Arabidopsis thaliana: one gene and its partner. The protein of the gene in region 1 interacts with the protein of each later gene in a pairwise test. Each region holds a gene or a part of one and is shown on either strand. Other genes may lie near its edges.

Region 1 (7,856 bases):
TCGATTGGAGGTTAGTGGTTGATGAGAACATCCTCGGCAAAGAATTGAAGTAGCGATCGATGTGAGAACTTGCGGCGAGACCGATGATGATTCCAGCCATGAAAATTAGCAAAAACGACAGCGTTTGCGCCAGCTTTAGTAACCCTATGTGTTTTTCTCCTTCCTCTTTCCCTCCTCTCGCCATTGTTCGAGAAACTCAAAACTTGTCTACCCAAACAACAACACAGTGATGATCTCTGTTCCCCAAAAATAAAGTTTCAGGGAAACATTCTTATGATTCAAAGAGAATCTGATTGTTTCAAGCACAAATCCATTGCATTCAATCTCCTCGAGAAATTTCCTAAATTTGTAACATATAATTAAATCCAAGGATCAAACGAAATCGAAAAAGGTAAGTGGATAAATGGAAATTGGATCTGTGGAAATCTTCGAGGAAAGTGAGAAACGATGACTGAAACAGATCAGAAACTGAATTTCATGCAGAGAGGAAGAAGAAGAAGAAGAAACATAAACAAATCTGGTCTTTTGTTTCTTCCAGTTGAAATCTATGTGTGTGTGTGGTTGATTTTGATCTTATATATATAAAAGAACAAAATTAATTGGAATGTTATGCTTAATTTAATTAGATTAATTGAGTTTAAAACTCCACGTCGAAAAGCATAACGAGTTCAAAGTCCGCAGATCTTGCCAGATGGGAATAATCTATTGGTTTTAAGTTATTGGGCCGGAGGGCCCACGTTTAATTGTGACGTGGTTTAGTGCTCGTCAACTCTTTGGTCCGACATTTCACTTTTTTTTTTATAGAAATAATTCTAGATATCCAGTAGTCAAACTTATTGATTATCTAATTTCTATATCCTTACTATTTTTAAAAAAATTACTTTTAACATTTCTAGAATTTTTCGATTTTTTCTGTACTTATTAACTATTAGTAAAATTTATTGATGCTTCTTTTGGTTATGTTATAGTATTGAGACAATGTATTGTATTCTAATTTTGATTTTTTTTTTCCTTTTTAATGATTTGTAGATTTTGTTTTTTCATTATTATATTTGAAAAAATATCTTCTTATATCTTAATCACCAGAAAATCTAAAACCGATGGCTATACTAATTTCCGGAATATATGAAATGTTTATTTTTCTATTAAGGATCCAAAGCAGCTAATTAAGATTAAAAACTTGGGAAGAACTAGTATCCCAAACAAACAATATGATATCCAGATGTCCAAAAGGAAAAAGAAATGGTATCAAAAGAACCAAGAAATGTGCCTAGAAATTTCATATAGTTAGCTTGGAAATTTCTGATTTTTATGTCCAATGTTTATTTATTTTTTCCTTATAATTATACTTGTCATACATCACAAAGAATTGTCAACATTGCCAAACTAGTCCTAAGATGTTGGAAGGTATGATGATAGACAACAGTTCTAAAGAAGGGAAGATGAGATTCAGGCAACAAAAAACACATATAGTTCAAAAAAATTAGGTTGGTAGGATCAATTATTCAAAAAACATACACCAAATAGATTTTAGTAGGGGTTGTTTGTCCAAAAAAAAACTATAATAGTTTACGAAAATAGTTACACCTTGTGAATAGATTTTTTGTTTGCCTTCCCTTGAGGTAAATTATGTCGCGAGAACTATATGAACAACAACGAGATCCACAACAACATTTGATTACATTTTTATTTGAACCTTCACATTGATTTAGTAATGTGGGATTCCAACATCATCTAATGTTATATGAATGGATCTAATAGATGATAAATTGTTAAATGAACTGATAATTTTTTTTTATTTTTTTATGTGTATTTCACATCACATTGTTTTTTTTTTTTTTTTTTTAAGTAAGAAAAAGAAGAAGCACTTGAGACCGATCAGAAAAAAATTAGAAAGATATGATTTTTGTAAGTCTTTTGAAATTTGAATCTTGTCCCGTGTAATTGTGAAATCTTACGTACGTCCTCTTTATGACCTCGTCTTCGCTCATTTCTGCCTTCCCTTACGAAATCCCCAACGAAAAATCTTAGCTTAACACCATCGCGACCGGATTCCAAATTCCGGCCCATCGTCTCACCGGGAAAGACCCCGCCTATTGCCGCCGATTTCGGTTCCGGTCTGCTCAGATCTAATCGAGTGGCTTCCTTCTTCCTCCAGATCTCTTCACTTTGAATCGGTTACTCGATCTCGATTCGCGGAGGGCTTTTGCTAGTCGCGATGGAGGCGATCGATGAGTTGTCTCAGCTCTCAGATTCGATGAAGCAGGCGGCGTCTCTCCTCGCCGACGAAGATCCCGACGAAACCTCTTCTTCCAAGCGCCCTGCCACTTTCCTCAACGTCGTTGCCTTGGGAAATGTGGTGAGTTCCTCGCTCTCACTCCACGCTCCTCGATTTTCCTCTCTTTAGGCTCGTGCTGGTTTTATTCTGTGTTCGAGTGTATGTTGGATTGCCATATCGTGGATCTTCTGGATCTAGATTAGGTTTTTATCGAATTTTGCTAGGACACACTCATCGTTTATAGCTAGTTTTGTTGGGATTCTCTTTATTAGTGGATATATGGTTACATGAGGAGCGACTCGTGCCGGAGAAGGCTGATGTATTTTGTTATTTGTTACTTATCTCTTTTTGCATACTGAACCAGGGAGCTGGAAAGTCTGCAGTTCTAAACAGTCTAATTGGGCATCCAGTGCTGGTAAGTTGTACATTGAGTCTATGGTTATTATTGGCTTACTCCTTTTCTTATACTAATACTGACCTCTGTTGTGTCTGCTACACTTACTATACACAGCCGACGGGTGAGAATGGTGCTACACGAGCTCCTATAATAATTGAATTGAGCAGGGAGAGTTCTTTGAGCAGCAAGGCAATTATCTTGCAAATCGACAATAAATCTCAACAAGTTTCTGCAAGTAAGTCTCTATCTATGAACATATGCAATTTAGCAATGCTATGTGAGGCTCTTTCTGCATTTATGATAAAAAAATTTCGATCAGTCTTCTCATAATATCTCCATTGTGTTCTACATGGGTATATTTTAGGTGCTTTGAGACATTCTCTGCAAGATAGACTTAGCAAAGGAGCCTCAGGGAAGAATCGTGATGAAATAAACTTAAAACTTCGTACCAGCACAGGTAAGCCCCTTTTTACTTGCACAATCATAAGTGGCAAGCCTATATCTACTCTTCAAATAGCACATCCTTAGCTAACCTAAGTTGGGTGTATGAATTTATCTTTGATACCCGTGAACTGGTCAGCTGTAATATCTTGCTATCCTTATATACTATCTAGTACACTAGTTTAGAGCTTCTAGCTTTACTTTGGTGGGTATCAGATTAAATATCTAACGGAGCTTTAACATAAACAGTACACACTCTTTTGAACATGAGTTATGACATATGACATATGACCGACAGTTTCGTAGTATTAAATTTTCTTTGACCATCATAACCTGTTACGTTTACCCTTTACATTGCAGCTCCACCATTGAAATTAGTTGATCTGCCTGGACTGGACCAGAGAATTGTGGACGAGTCAATGGTGAGGCTTGGAACTACTTAATGCCATTGTCATATCCTTAACTTGCCTGACAACCACGAAACAAAAGATTTTGACTATTTTTATCGGTTTCCTACTGAAGTGATAATATAGATTCATTATCATGTTTATCCTTTTGAAATTGTTGTTTGTTTCTTGGGTCTCTTTGCAAGATTGCTGAATACGCGCAACACAATGATGCCATACTGCTGGTTATAGTGCCTGCTAGCCAGGCATCTGAAATTTCATCATCCCGAGCCCTGAAGATTGCAAAGGAGTATGATCCAGAGAGTGAGTACATCTGTATTTCCGATCTGTCTTATCTTAATATTGTTTATTATTTGTATACCTGATAAGAACTGTTGATTTACCTACCTATTATCACTTCAGTTTGCTTAAAATACTCATTAGCTAACATCACTCCTCCCTACTTATAGGTACTAGGACAATAGGCATTATTGGAAAAATTGACCAGGCAGCAGAGAACTCGAAAGCCCTTGCAGCTGTTCAGGCTCTTCTTTCAAATCAAGGACCTCCAAAAACAACTGACATTCCATGGGTTGCTGTTATTGGCCAATCCGTTTCAATTGCGTCAGCACAGTCTGGAAGTGGTGAGAACTCCTTAGAAACTGCTTGGCGTGCTGAGAGTGAAAGTCTTAAGTCCATTTTGACTGGGGCTCCACAAAGCAAGCTTGGCAGAATTGCGTTGGTGGATACCCTTGCTAGCCAGATTCGTAGCAGAATGAAGCTCAGGCTTCCAAGTGTCCTGTCTGGGTATTGCTTCTCTCCATATATGTGCTTTCTTCATGATTTTTATTATGGTGTTGGCATATGACATTGGTTGCTTGAACGCATATGGCTTTCAAATTCTTTGTACAGGCTCCAGGGTAAGTCTCAAATAGTGCAGGATGAGCTAGCGAGGCTTGGTGAACAACTAGTTAACAGTGCTGAAGGTACAAGGGCTATAGCTTTGGAGCTTTGCCGTGAGTTTGAAGACAAGTTTCTTCTGCACTTGGCTGGTGGTGAAGTAAGTACATTCTTACAAAAGTTAACTAGATTTAGTCGAAAATTCAAGAATATAGTGAGAGAGAAGAACTCTTCAAATATTAGCAATCAGCCATTTCAGATTTGGTACTAGTGTAGTGGAAAGTCTCTTGCTAGCCTACGCTTGGTAAGAGCACATTATATTGTTGGGAATCTCATGAATCTGATAGTGGATGTTTATAATATGTGTATAAGCCAACTGAGTGTTTGATATAGAGTTTTTGTACTTGTCTGTGTTCAGTTTATGGGCTGAAGTCCCTTTTGGAGCTTGGCAAATGTTTTTCTCAAAACTTTTTGATTCTTGTTCAGGGAAGTGGTTGGAAAGTTGTTGCAAGTTTTGAAGGAAATTTCCCCAACCGTATCAAGCAGCTTCCATTGGATAGACATTTTGACCTGAACAATGTTAAAAGGGTGGGTGTCTTCTTCTGTCCTAAGTTTCTGCACGAGACAAGTTTTGAGACTTGATTTGTCAAAATATCTTTGATTTTCAGGTTGTTTTGGAGGCAGATGGTTATCAACCTTATCTTATATCTCCAGAGAAAGGGTTGAGATCGTTGATAAAGATTGTCCTTGAGTTGGCTAAAGACCCGGCACGCCTTTGTGTTGATGAGGTGTGCTTGTTTACATGTTTTTTTAGGTACATGCAGTAGGATTGAATTTTAGAAATTTACTGCATTGTGAACTGGCTATGGCTTGTCTCACTTTAATTCTTCGAACTGTTATTTAGAGTTCTGTCAAGTTTTCTGGTTTATAAGCCTTAGTAAGTTAATATCCCTTACCGTAGATGTAGCTATTTTTTGGTTCCTACTTTAAAACTCATGCATCCAGCTTCTGTCTTATTTACGTGTTGAGCTAACATGGTCTTAACTTTTGATTAGGTTCACCGAGTTCTTGTTGACATAGTTTCAGCTTCTGCAAATGCTACACCTGGACTTGGGAGATATCCTCCTTTCAAGCGAGAGGTAATAATGATTTTTTGGTGCTTTATTCAGTAATATTTTATCATTTCGGTAACAGTTATTCCTTTCTGACTAATCATCAACCAGGTTGTAGCTATAGCAAGTGCAGCACTTGATGGTTTCAAGAATGAAGCCAAGAAAATGGTGGTTGCACTAGTTGATATGGAACGCGCTTTTGTACCACCTCAACATTTTATCCGTCTTGTGCAAAGGAGGTATTTTGGCTTGTCTTTCTTTGCAATTTTTGTTTTTATTTTCAATGGTTCATGACTGAAAATTATTTCTCTTTCTGACGATGCACTGTATTGACTCCATCAGAATGGAAAGACAACGTCGCGAGGAAGAGCTGAAAGGGCGATCTTCTAAGAAGGGACAAGATGCAGAGCAGTCCCTTTTAAGCAGGGTGTGTGTTCATTCTGTATCAATTTGGATATACGTAGTGAAAAATGTTTTTTTTTTTTTTTTATCGTTTTACATGAAAATATATAATGTGGAAATTCTCTACATATATGTTTATCAGGCTACTAGTCCTCAGCCAGATGGGCCAACAGCTGGTGGTAGCTTAAAATCAATGAAAGACAAACCTAGTCCGCAAGATAAAGAGACGCCGGAGGTCTCTGGTCTGAAAACTGCTGGACCTGAGGGGGAGATAACAGCAGGTTGTTATTCTAATATACATCTACCCAGTTACTGTCTAAAAAGTTTCATTCTGCTTTTTCACTCCCGATTTGCTTTCCTTACGTTGCATGATTTTATTGCTGCAAAGCTTTGCTCTTAGTCCAAGTGCATGATTTCTTCATGTCTTTTTCTTCTTTATCACTTAAAACTAACTTGACAAAACTAACTTCCAAGGTAGATAACAAATACTTACTCTTTTCATTTAGGGTACTTAATGAAGAAAAGTGCAAAAACAAATGGGTGGAGTAGGCGATGGTTTGTTCTGAATGAGAAAACTGGAAAGGTCAGCATTTTGAAACGTATATTCTTCAGTTGTTGAGAACTTACTGACTTTACTGTTTACCTTTTTCTAGCTTGGCTATACCAAAAAGCAAGAAGAAAGAAACTTTCGGGGCACGATAACTTTGGAGGTACCATTCTCTTCCTATGCTTTATTTTCTGCCAAAGGTGAACTATAATTAGATATGACATGGAAAAAAGAATTAGAGAAGAATATAGTTCGTATTCACCTTGTTATTTTCTCCCACACTGTTTCCTTCTTGGAGAGTGACAATTACTTGTGTATTTTGAAGCTTATGCTTCAAATATTTAATAGTTCTGTTATTATCGATGAGAAATTTGGATACTCTATAGATAACATTTTTTCCATGTTTTTCTAATTATACTTCCTCCAACTTTATTAATCCACTCAGGAATGCACTATTGAAGAAATCCCCGAGGACGAAGTAGAAAAGTCAAAGAGCTCGAAGGACAAGAAGGCAAATGGACCTGATTCAAAAGGACCAGGCCTTGTGTTTAAAATAACCTGCAAGGTTCCCTATAAGACTGTACTCAAAGGTACATAAATCAATCATTATAAGAATTCAAACTTCTTAATCTTCTATTCGCACTTTTATGAGTTTTCCTCAAACTATTATGTTGCAGCTCACAATGCCCTTGTGCTTAAGGCTGAGAGTGTAGTCGACAAGAACGAGTGGATTAATAAGTTGCAAAAGGTTATCCAGGCTCGTGGAGGCCAAGTGGGCAGTGTTTCCATGAGGCAGAGTCTTTCAGAAGGTTCACTTGTGAGTCACTCATGGGCAGCTTTTCTTACATTTCCTCTTCCTTAAATCTATGTTAGATACGTTCACTAGTCTTATGGATTACTTATTATCACTATGAAGAAAGTTTGAAACTTCACTTCGGAAGGTTTGAAACTGTTGGAAGAGCAAACAAAGCTATTTATGTTTTATTGAACATTGTCGAATTTTTATTATTGAAACATTTTTCCTATAGAAGGCTCAGTTTATGGGGTATGCATGATACTACTTTTAAACTTGACATAAGTTATGTTTGACATTTAAGGTTTTTATTGTTTATAATATTTTCTGAGACTTACGTTTTTTTCCTTGTCTGTATTTCAGGATAAGATGGTTAGGAAACCCATCGATCCAGAAGAGGAGCTCCGGTGGATGTCCCAAGAAGTACGGGGTTACGTTGAAGCTGTTCTTAACAGCCTTGCAGCCAATGTTCCAAAGGTGAACTATCCTTATGCAAAAGCTCGAAAGCTCTAAATTTTCTTGTCCATCTCTTTTCTCTTACAGAGATTCCTCGGTCATGCTACTAAGCGATGTGAATTGACCATGAACAGGCTGTTGTTC
Region 2 (7,559 bases), 5.1 Mb from region 1:
ATGCAGGAAAGGACAATCCCTATTGACCAAAGAGAGTATGTCCCCAAATCTGAAACAGTGAAAGAAGAATCGTTGAAGTTTCCAAAGGCATGGTTAGTCAAATCCACAAAAGATTACTTATAGAAAAGACATACTAGAATGAGAGTTTTCGAGGCAATCCTCCTCCTTAAGATTTATCTGGCGAATCATTTCATTTCCATGATCAGAAACAAGCAAACAACATCTTTGAGGAACAAAAGTTATCTCGAAATCGCTAGAGAAAGTAGCATTCTGTGCAGGTCCATCTCTGTGTCCAAATGCCTTTGAGATCCCTCCAGCAATGGTGGTTACAGAACCTACAAAGTCCAGTAAATAAAACATGCATAATCAAAATAAACTAAGTGGCTCTTTCAACAAACTAAGATTAGACAACAACAACAACTAGCATTTATACAAAAGGAATACAAGAAATGGATTAAACAAACACCTGAAGAGCTGATCTTCCGTATAGCTTTATTACTCTTATCAGCAACATAAACATTCCCTTTAGCATCCACAGCAAAACCACGGGGTTTGCTGAACCGGCTGTTACCAGCTTTACCATCTACATGACCCGAACTCCCATCCCCAGCAAACCGGTTTATCACACTATCTGCACAACCACACACACATACTCAAAGTGAGCTCAAACTTCAATTGAAAGAAAGATAAACAAAATTTTCACTTATAGTAAAGTTTAGAACTTTTATTTGCAGGTTGATCGTTTCACACACATACACACACATATTAGTATTGTGGTCCAATTTGAGATTACGGAGAAAGAAAAAATGAAGGTCAAGACTTGCAATCAAAATCAACAAGCTCTAAACATTTACTTATGCATCCATGAATTTACAACTCATATACAAACACAATTATAATGATCCGATTAATAGATGAGACAAAAGAGTGGTTTTGTGGGTGTTTACCAACGGACAAAGGAAAGGAAGTAGTGTAAAATGTACTGCCGGAAGAATCAAGGACGATCAGATTAGAAGATCCTGGTAAAGCATGAATCGTGTATGGATTCAGACCAGACTTATGGCCATCGACCACCGTTGTGACTTCGTACCCTTCTTCTAAAACTATCTTACCACTCACTGTAACAAAATCATGAGGAAAATTAAAAATTCGAATTTTGGGTTGGGAAATTCAACTGAATTAACAGATTTTTGAAAATATACCCAGATTGAAAACGACGAACAAGAAGAGAGACACGGACGAAAATCCCCAAGCCATGTCAAAATCGAGAGGAGAAAGCGACTGTTCTGTGTAACTTGTGTTGTGTTACTTATTTTTGCTGCTTAGCATCTTTAAAGGTTTTAAAAAGATACTAGGGCCTGAGCGATACTATGATGTGTTCAAGTGTAGGGGAGAATTTGTGTAACAACCAATGAAAGAGCGCGTATCATCGACCCTCTCAAATTTGACTAATAAAAACGGCCCAAGTAGGGCCCATTTATGTGTTTAACTATAAAGAAACGGCCCAGTCTATGTTTTTGTTTTGAGAGGATTGCTGGTCGAAACGTTACCGTTTAGGTGGAAATGGAAGTCATGTTTATACAACGCATTTAATTTGGCAATTATGGTTTACGAAGACTGAGAAGAAAAAAACGAGCATCGTCCATCGAGATCCAAATCCTCAGTTTCATTTTCATCTCTCTCTCTCGTATTGATCAGCTACTCGAAACTCCGGTAACGGATTTTCACAATCCCGGCGGCGAAACTCTTCTTCCCGGCTAAGTTTTCATTTTCTTCAGATTCCTCGTAAAGTTGCCGGTGGACCAAGGTCCAACTCTTGAACACCCCAAATCATGAATCCCTTTTCTTCTGGTACTCGTTTAAGGTAAATTGATTCTCTTCTTTCCTTTTTATCGTTTCTGTTTCAGGTTTCTTAGTCGTTGATCAGCTTACAAATGAAATTTGAATATAACATGATGTAATTGAGCTCGTTTTCATTTGAGGATTGAATTTTGTTGATTGGCCTGTTTCGAAGATGAATTTGGTATTGGTGTTTCTGATTCCATTTAGAATTTTGATTTTAGTCTAAGAACATGATCACACTAAGGATTTTTGGTAATCCTTTTGCTTAATTTAATTGAATATTGGATTGGTCATGTTGCTGTTGGGGTTTAATAGTGGAATCAGATCGGATTATTGTATATGGTTCTGAAGTTATAGTGGACATATGAGTATGATTCAGGGACATGATCCGTGCCATAAGAGCATGCAAAACAGCTGCGGAGGAGCGAGCTGTTGTAAGAAAGGAGTGTGCCGATATTCGAGCATTGATTAATGAAGATGACCCGCATGATCGGCACCGGAACCTTGCGAAACTCATGTTTATACACATGCTGGGTTATCCCACACACTTTGGGCAGATGGAGTGCTTGAAGCTAATTGCATCTCCTGGATTTCCAGAGAAGAGGATTGGATATCTAGGGCTAATGTTGCTTCTTGATGAGAGACAAGAAGTGTTGATGCTTGTCACAAATTCGTTAAAACAGTATCCTTACTAATTTCTAGTATTAAATCTTGATACCTTGGCCTTTGAATGGATTCTTCTTCTATGTTAAAAAATACTAGAGAACACTTGATTTTTGATTGCATTGCTGTTATGGGAATTAAGGAGAAAAATATTTAAATAGATTTGTTCCTGTTTAACCTTAAGTCACGTGCAGAGATCTTAATCACTCGAACCAGTATGTTGTAGGACTTGCTCTCTGTGCTTTAGGGAATATTTGTTCAGCAGAAATGGCCCGTGATCTTGCGCCAGAAGTAGAAAGATTAATCCAGTTTCGTGACCCTAATATCCGAAAGAAGGTGAAGTGTTTTCTAATTCATATACAGGGTCTCCTGGAGTTTAGTCGCTTTTTTTTTTTCCTTCATTGCCTTTACCATTTATGTTGTATTATATGCAGGCGGCGCTTTGCTCTACTAGAATAATAAGGAAAGTTCCAGATCTAGCAGAAAACTTCGTAAATGCTGCTGCTTCCTTGCTTAAAGAAAAGCATCATGGGGTTCTTATAACAGGAGTTCAACTTTGTTATGAATTATGCACGATTAATGATGAAGCCCTAGAGTACTTCAGAACGGTAAGTCTATAAATATTATACAGAACACTCTACTTATGCATACAGGAGCATCGACGTAATTTAATTGAATATGCGTACATATGATACTATATTACCTGTATGATGCTTTTGTGTACTATTTTTCTCTTGCAATAAAGTTTGATATCTGTGGTATTCACTTATAAATAGATTACTCTGCTGAAATGAGGCAGACAATCAGGTTGTTATATTGTTTTATCAGACCGTCAGTTTTGACAAACCCTTGTCTTTGTTTTGTCTCTGCAGAAATGCACAGAGGGACTGATAAAAACTTTGAGGGATATTACTAATAGCGCATATCAGCCTGAGTATGATGTTGCAGGGATCACAGACCCTTTTCTCCACATACGGTTGCTCAGGCTCTTGCGTGTTTTAGGCCAGGGTGATGCTGATGCTAGTGATTTGATGACAGATATACTTGCACAGGTTAGTCATAGTTTAGCAAGTGATTCTGGATATGGTTGACCATCTTCACATTTGCGATGTAATTCCTTTGTTAAACATCAACGGTTTATGGTTTTTGTTCCAGTTACCTTACATATATTTTTTCGGAAAAATGTTGTAAGATAGCTATGCTCTCTCATGTGCTGGAACTGATTCTGTTAAATATAGCATAATGGAGAAAGAATTTCATTTCGTTGATAGGGTTCATGGGCTATTATTCTCTTTGGTAGATAGAAGACTTATTGGTTACTGAGTTTTTGCCGTACTTGAATTCTCCCTCTTTTGATACCGGTCTTTGTTGTCATAGTAAGTGTTGATTTGTGGACGGACATATAAATCTGTAGGCTGCGCCAATCCTTTTCTATCTCACCATGATGAATGCATCCTGCGTCTGTTACATGCTTTGTTTTGGAAATCTTTTGAGTTCAAAGTCAGGGATCTACTGTCGGATACTTTGTTATCCTGGTTCTTTGATATTTATTCTCGTTGGTTTCATGCTATTGTAGGTGGCAACAAAAACTGAATCAAACAAAAACGCAGGGAATGCGGTACTCTATGAGTGTGTTGAAACAATCATGGCCATTGAAGACACCAATAGCTTGCGTGTGCTTGCTATCAATATCTTGGGAAGATTCTTATCTAACCGCGACAATAACATCAGGTTCAACCCCCTACACCTCAATTTTATTTGATAATAGTATGGTATTATATATGTTTGTAATGGAACTAGCTTACTTGTATTTTTCTTCTGTCTATCATCTTTCTTTGGATGTGCTTAACTCTATGAAGCACACAATGCTCTTCTGACCAACCAGCGTTGCCTTTTCTAATCTTGATTTCGTTTCTCTCAAAAACGCTGCATTCCCTTATGAAATTCATACTTTCGTTCTCTCAGATATGTTGCATTAAACATGCTGATGAAAGCTATCACTTTCGATGATCAAGCAGTGCAAAGGCACAGAGTTACAATTTTGGAATGTGTGAAGGTATTAGTATTACCAGGAAAATATTTTATACAATGTTAACTGCTAAGTATATCTTAGAGAAATAAAAAATGCTAATTTGGTTTCTGCTTCCATAACAATATAGGACCCAGATGCTTCTATCCGGAAAAGAGCTCTTGAGCTTGTCACTCTTTTGGTGAATGAAAACAATGTCACACAACTGACAAAGGAGCTAATTGATTATTTGGAAATCAGCGACGAAGATTTTAAGGAAGATCTTAGTGCAAAAATTTGTTTTATCGTTGAAAAGTAAGTATTCTATTTAAGAAATAGAATGACTACTTACTCTGAGAAAGTTGGGGGTCAGGATGATTGGAAAGTTACTGTGAATGTCTAGTTGATTGAAGTTTTTGTTGACTTTTTAAATTTTTTGATAATGTAGGTTTTCTCCAGAAAAACTATGGTACATTGATCAGATGCTCAAGGTTCTGTGTGAGGTATGGATTCAAACGCGAGAATATGCTCTGTAACGTGTTACCAGTTAATTGCACTCTTTGAAATCGTTTGAGAGTTTATATCTGCTTAAGCTAATTTCAAATGCATTGTTTGTATCTGTCATAACCTATTGTCATCTATTCCATGTTAGTAGGCTGGAAAGTTTGTGAAAGATGATGTGTGGCATGCACTTATTGTTGTCATAAGCAATGCATCAGAGCTTCATGGATATACAGTTAGGGCCTTGTACAAATCAGTCTTGACTTATTCGGAACAGGTAGCTATTTTCTAATGTTAGATTGTGCTCAGTCCTCAATCAGTTGTAACCCTTTCTAATATGGTTTCGTTGAGATGATAACCAGGAGACCCTTGTCCGAGTGGCGGTATGGTGCATTGGGGAATATGGTGATCTGTTGGTTAACAATGTGGGGATGCTTGGTATTGAAGATCCAATAACGGTGAGCATCACAATGGCAATCTTAATTCATTATTTGCTCCATGATAAATATGCAGATGCTTTTGCTTCTTGGGATTTCATTTTTGCTTTGAAAAATATGCAACGAGTATGTGACTGCCTTGAGCAGGTAACGGAATCTGATGCAGTGGACGTTATCGAGGATGCCATTACTCGCCATAACTCAGATTCGACTACAAAAGCAATGGCATTGGTTGCTCTACTGAAGTTGTCATCCCGCTTTCCTTCTATTTCAGAGTATGTCTGACCTCGTTGTGCTATCTGTTTTTATCTCAACTCGTTCATCTGATATCTGCACTTATCCCTTTTCAACTCTACACAAGATGCATATGCGCACTAGTATATGAATAATAAATTTTGGTCTGTCTACAAGAAACTGTAGCGCGTTGCCTTCTGAAAAAAGATTAGAAATATATTATACATGTACATCCTGTCCTCAACTCTCTATTGATAATTAAAAAGTTTTCTAAAATTCAATGACAGGAGAATTAAAGACATAATTGTGAAGCAGAAAGGAAGCCTTCTCCTTGAAATGCAGCAGAGAGCTATTGAATACAATTCTATAGTTGACAGGCATAAAAATATCAGGTGGAATCCCTTGTGCCTCTCTTCCTCATCTATCTTCTAGTGTAAGTTTTTCATATTCTCTCTCCCTCAAAGCTCATGATAGAGGTATGTGTGCATACAGGTCTTCTCTGGTTGACAGAATGCCGGTACTGGATGAGGCTACTTTCAATGTGAGGAGGGCCGGCTCTTTTCCTGCATCAGTTTCAACCATGGCCAAGCCTTCAGTTAGCCTTCAAAATGGTGTTGAGAAACTTCCTGTCGCTCCTCTTGTGGACTTGCTAGACCTAGATTCTGACGATATCATGGCTGCACCTAGTCCATCTGGTACAGATTTCCTTCAGGATCTTCTCGGTGTAGACTTAGGTTCATCGTCAGCACAATATGGTTAGTTCTTTGGCGGTTCTACAGCTCTTGCGTTCATATTATGGCGTGCTCATCTGCTATGTGTCTCTGAATGAACAAGTTTTTAAAAAAATCATTTTCCTCATTGCCTTGCAAAAGGATAACTCATGTTTGGTCTTCCATTTTTTATCCAATGATTCAGGTGCAACCCAGGCTCCAAAAGCTGGCACAGATCTGTTGCTGGATATTCTATCAATTGGAACACCTTCTCCTGCACAAAACAGCACATCATCTATTGGTTTATTATCAATAGCTGACGTTAACAATAATCCCTCAATTGCGCTAGACACACTTTCTTCACCAGCTCCACCTCACGTAGCAACAACTTCGTCCACCGGTATGTTTGATTTGCTAGATGGTCTTTCTCCAAGCCCATCGAAGGAAGGTAGGAAAAAGTCTTAACCTGAAAAAGATCTGTATAATCATTGAAACTCTTTTACAAAGGTCAATAACAAGTTTTCCTCCTTATTGCAGCCACCAATGGTCCAGCTTATGCACCTATTGTTGCATACGAGAGCAGCTCCTTGAAGATTGAGTTCACCTTCTCAAAGACACCAGGGAATCTGCAAACGACAAATGTCCAGGCTACTTTTACTAATTTATCTCCCAATACTTTCACAGATTTTATATTCCAGGCTGCTGTTCCAAAGGTAATTACATCTATCTTCTTTTTTTGCTTTTTTCCCCTTTATTCATCTTTCCCAATTGATAAAGCAGTAAATAGATTTCAATTTTTTCTTTAACCTTCTCTTTCTTTTGTGTAACTTCCAGTTCCTCCAGCTGCACTTGGATCCAGCTAGCAGTAACACACTCCTGGCAAGCGGTAGTGGTGCCATCACGCAGAATCTAAGAGTCACTAACAGCCAGCAGGGGAAGGTATGGCACATTCTCTGTTCGTCTTTCTATCTAACTTTATGTCTTCAACATTCCGTGCTCAGCATTGATGAATAGCACTTGATGATCCACAACATAATCTATGCTCAAATAAAGATAGGCTGAGCCTGTGGATTCAGTGACTTAACATAACACTAAGGGTTTAATGTTTATTGCAGAAATCTCTTGTGATGCGCATGAGGATTGGGTACAAACTGAACGGAAAAG

The links. The genes of interacting proteins can lie anywhere in the genome.
Region 2: the proteins of ADL6 (region 1) and GAMMA-ADAPTIN 1 interact in a two-hybrid assay, tested with the Arabidopsis thaliana proteins (one study listed by BioGRID).

What each region holds. Positions count from the first base shown.
Region 1 is NC_003070.9:3,368,556-3,376,411, forward strand, and holds the start of ADL6 (dynamin-like protein 6), read left to right. Parts: upstream 1-1,846; 5' UTR 1,847-2,218; coding exon 2,219-2,359; intron 2,360-2,642; coding exon 2,643-2,693; intron 2,694-2,789; coding exon 2,790-2,910; intron 2,911-3,039; coding exon 3,040-3,132; intron 3,133-3,476; coding exon 3,477-3,538; intron 3,539-3,708; coding exon 3,709-3,826; intron 3,827-3,972; coding exon 3,973-4,309; intron 4,310-4,414; coding exon 4,415-4,562; intron 4,563-4,888; coding exon 4,889-4,990; intron 4,991-5,070; coding exon 5,071-5,190; intron 5,191-5,457; coding exon 5,458-5,541; intron 5,542-5,625; coding exon 5,626-5,753; intron 5,754-5,856; coding exon 5,857-5,941; intron 5,942-6,058; coding exon 6,059-6,197; intron 6,198-6,422; coding exon 6,423-6,499; intron 6,500-6,569; coding exon 6,570-6,626; intron 6,627-6,908; coding exon 6,909-7,053; intron 7,054-7,140; coding exon 7,141-7,280; intron 7,281-7,619; coding exon 7,620-7,733; intron 7,734-7,846; and 1 more. Other genes in the region: AT1G10280 (Core-2/I-branching beta-1,6-N-acetylglucosaminyltransferase family protein), read right to left, coding at 1-184. UniProt on the Arabidopsis thaliana protein: Microtubule-associated force-producing protein involved in clathrin-mediated vesicle trafficking from the trans-Golgi network to the central vacuole. Able to bind and hydrolyze GTP. Binds specifically to phosphatidylinositol 3-phosphate (PtdIns3P).
Region 2 is NC_003070.9:8,439,547-8,447,105, forward strand, and holds the start of GAMMA-ADAPTIN 1 (gamma-adaptin 1), read left to right. Parts: upstream 1-1,532; 5' UTR 1,533-1,832; coding exon 1,833-1,864; intron 1,865-1,907; exon of another isoform or gene 1,908-2,221; coding exon 2,222-2,524; intron 2,525-2,699; coding exon 2,700-2,841; intron 2,842-2,939; coding exon 2,940-3,113; intron 3,114-3,377; coding exon 3,378-3,557; intron 3,558-4,081; coding exon 4,082-4,236; intron 4,237-4,470; coding exon 4,471-4,561; intron 4,562-4,664; coding exon 4,665-4,828; intron 4,829-4,961; coding exon 4,962-5,016; intron 5,017-5,168; coding exon 5,169-5,291; intron 5,292-5,376; coding exon 5,377-5,472; intron 5,473-5,598; coding exon 5,599-5,726; intron 5,727-5,972; coding exon 5,973-6,077; intron 6,078-6,177; coding exon 6,178-6,440; intron 6,441-6,600; coding exon 6,601-6,843; intron 6,844-6,932; coding exon 6,933-7,108; intron 7,109-7,229; coding exon 7,230-7,334; intron 7,335-7,510; coding exon 7,511-7,559. Other genes in the region: AT1G23890 (NHL domain-containing protein), read right to left, coding at 1-49, 135-335, 467-631, 948-1,118, 1,203-1,257. UniProt on the Arabidopsis thaliana protein: Subunit of clathrin-associated adaptor protein complex 1 that plays a role in protein sorting at the trans-Golgi network and early endosomes (TGN/EE).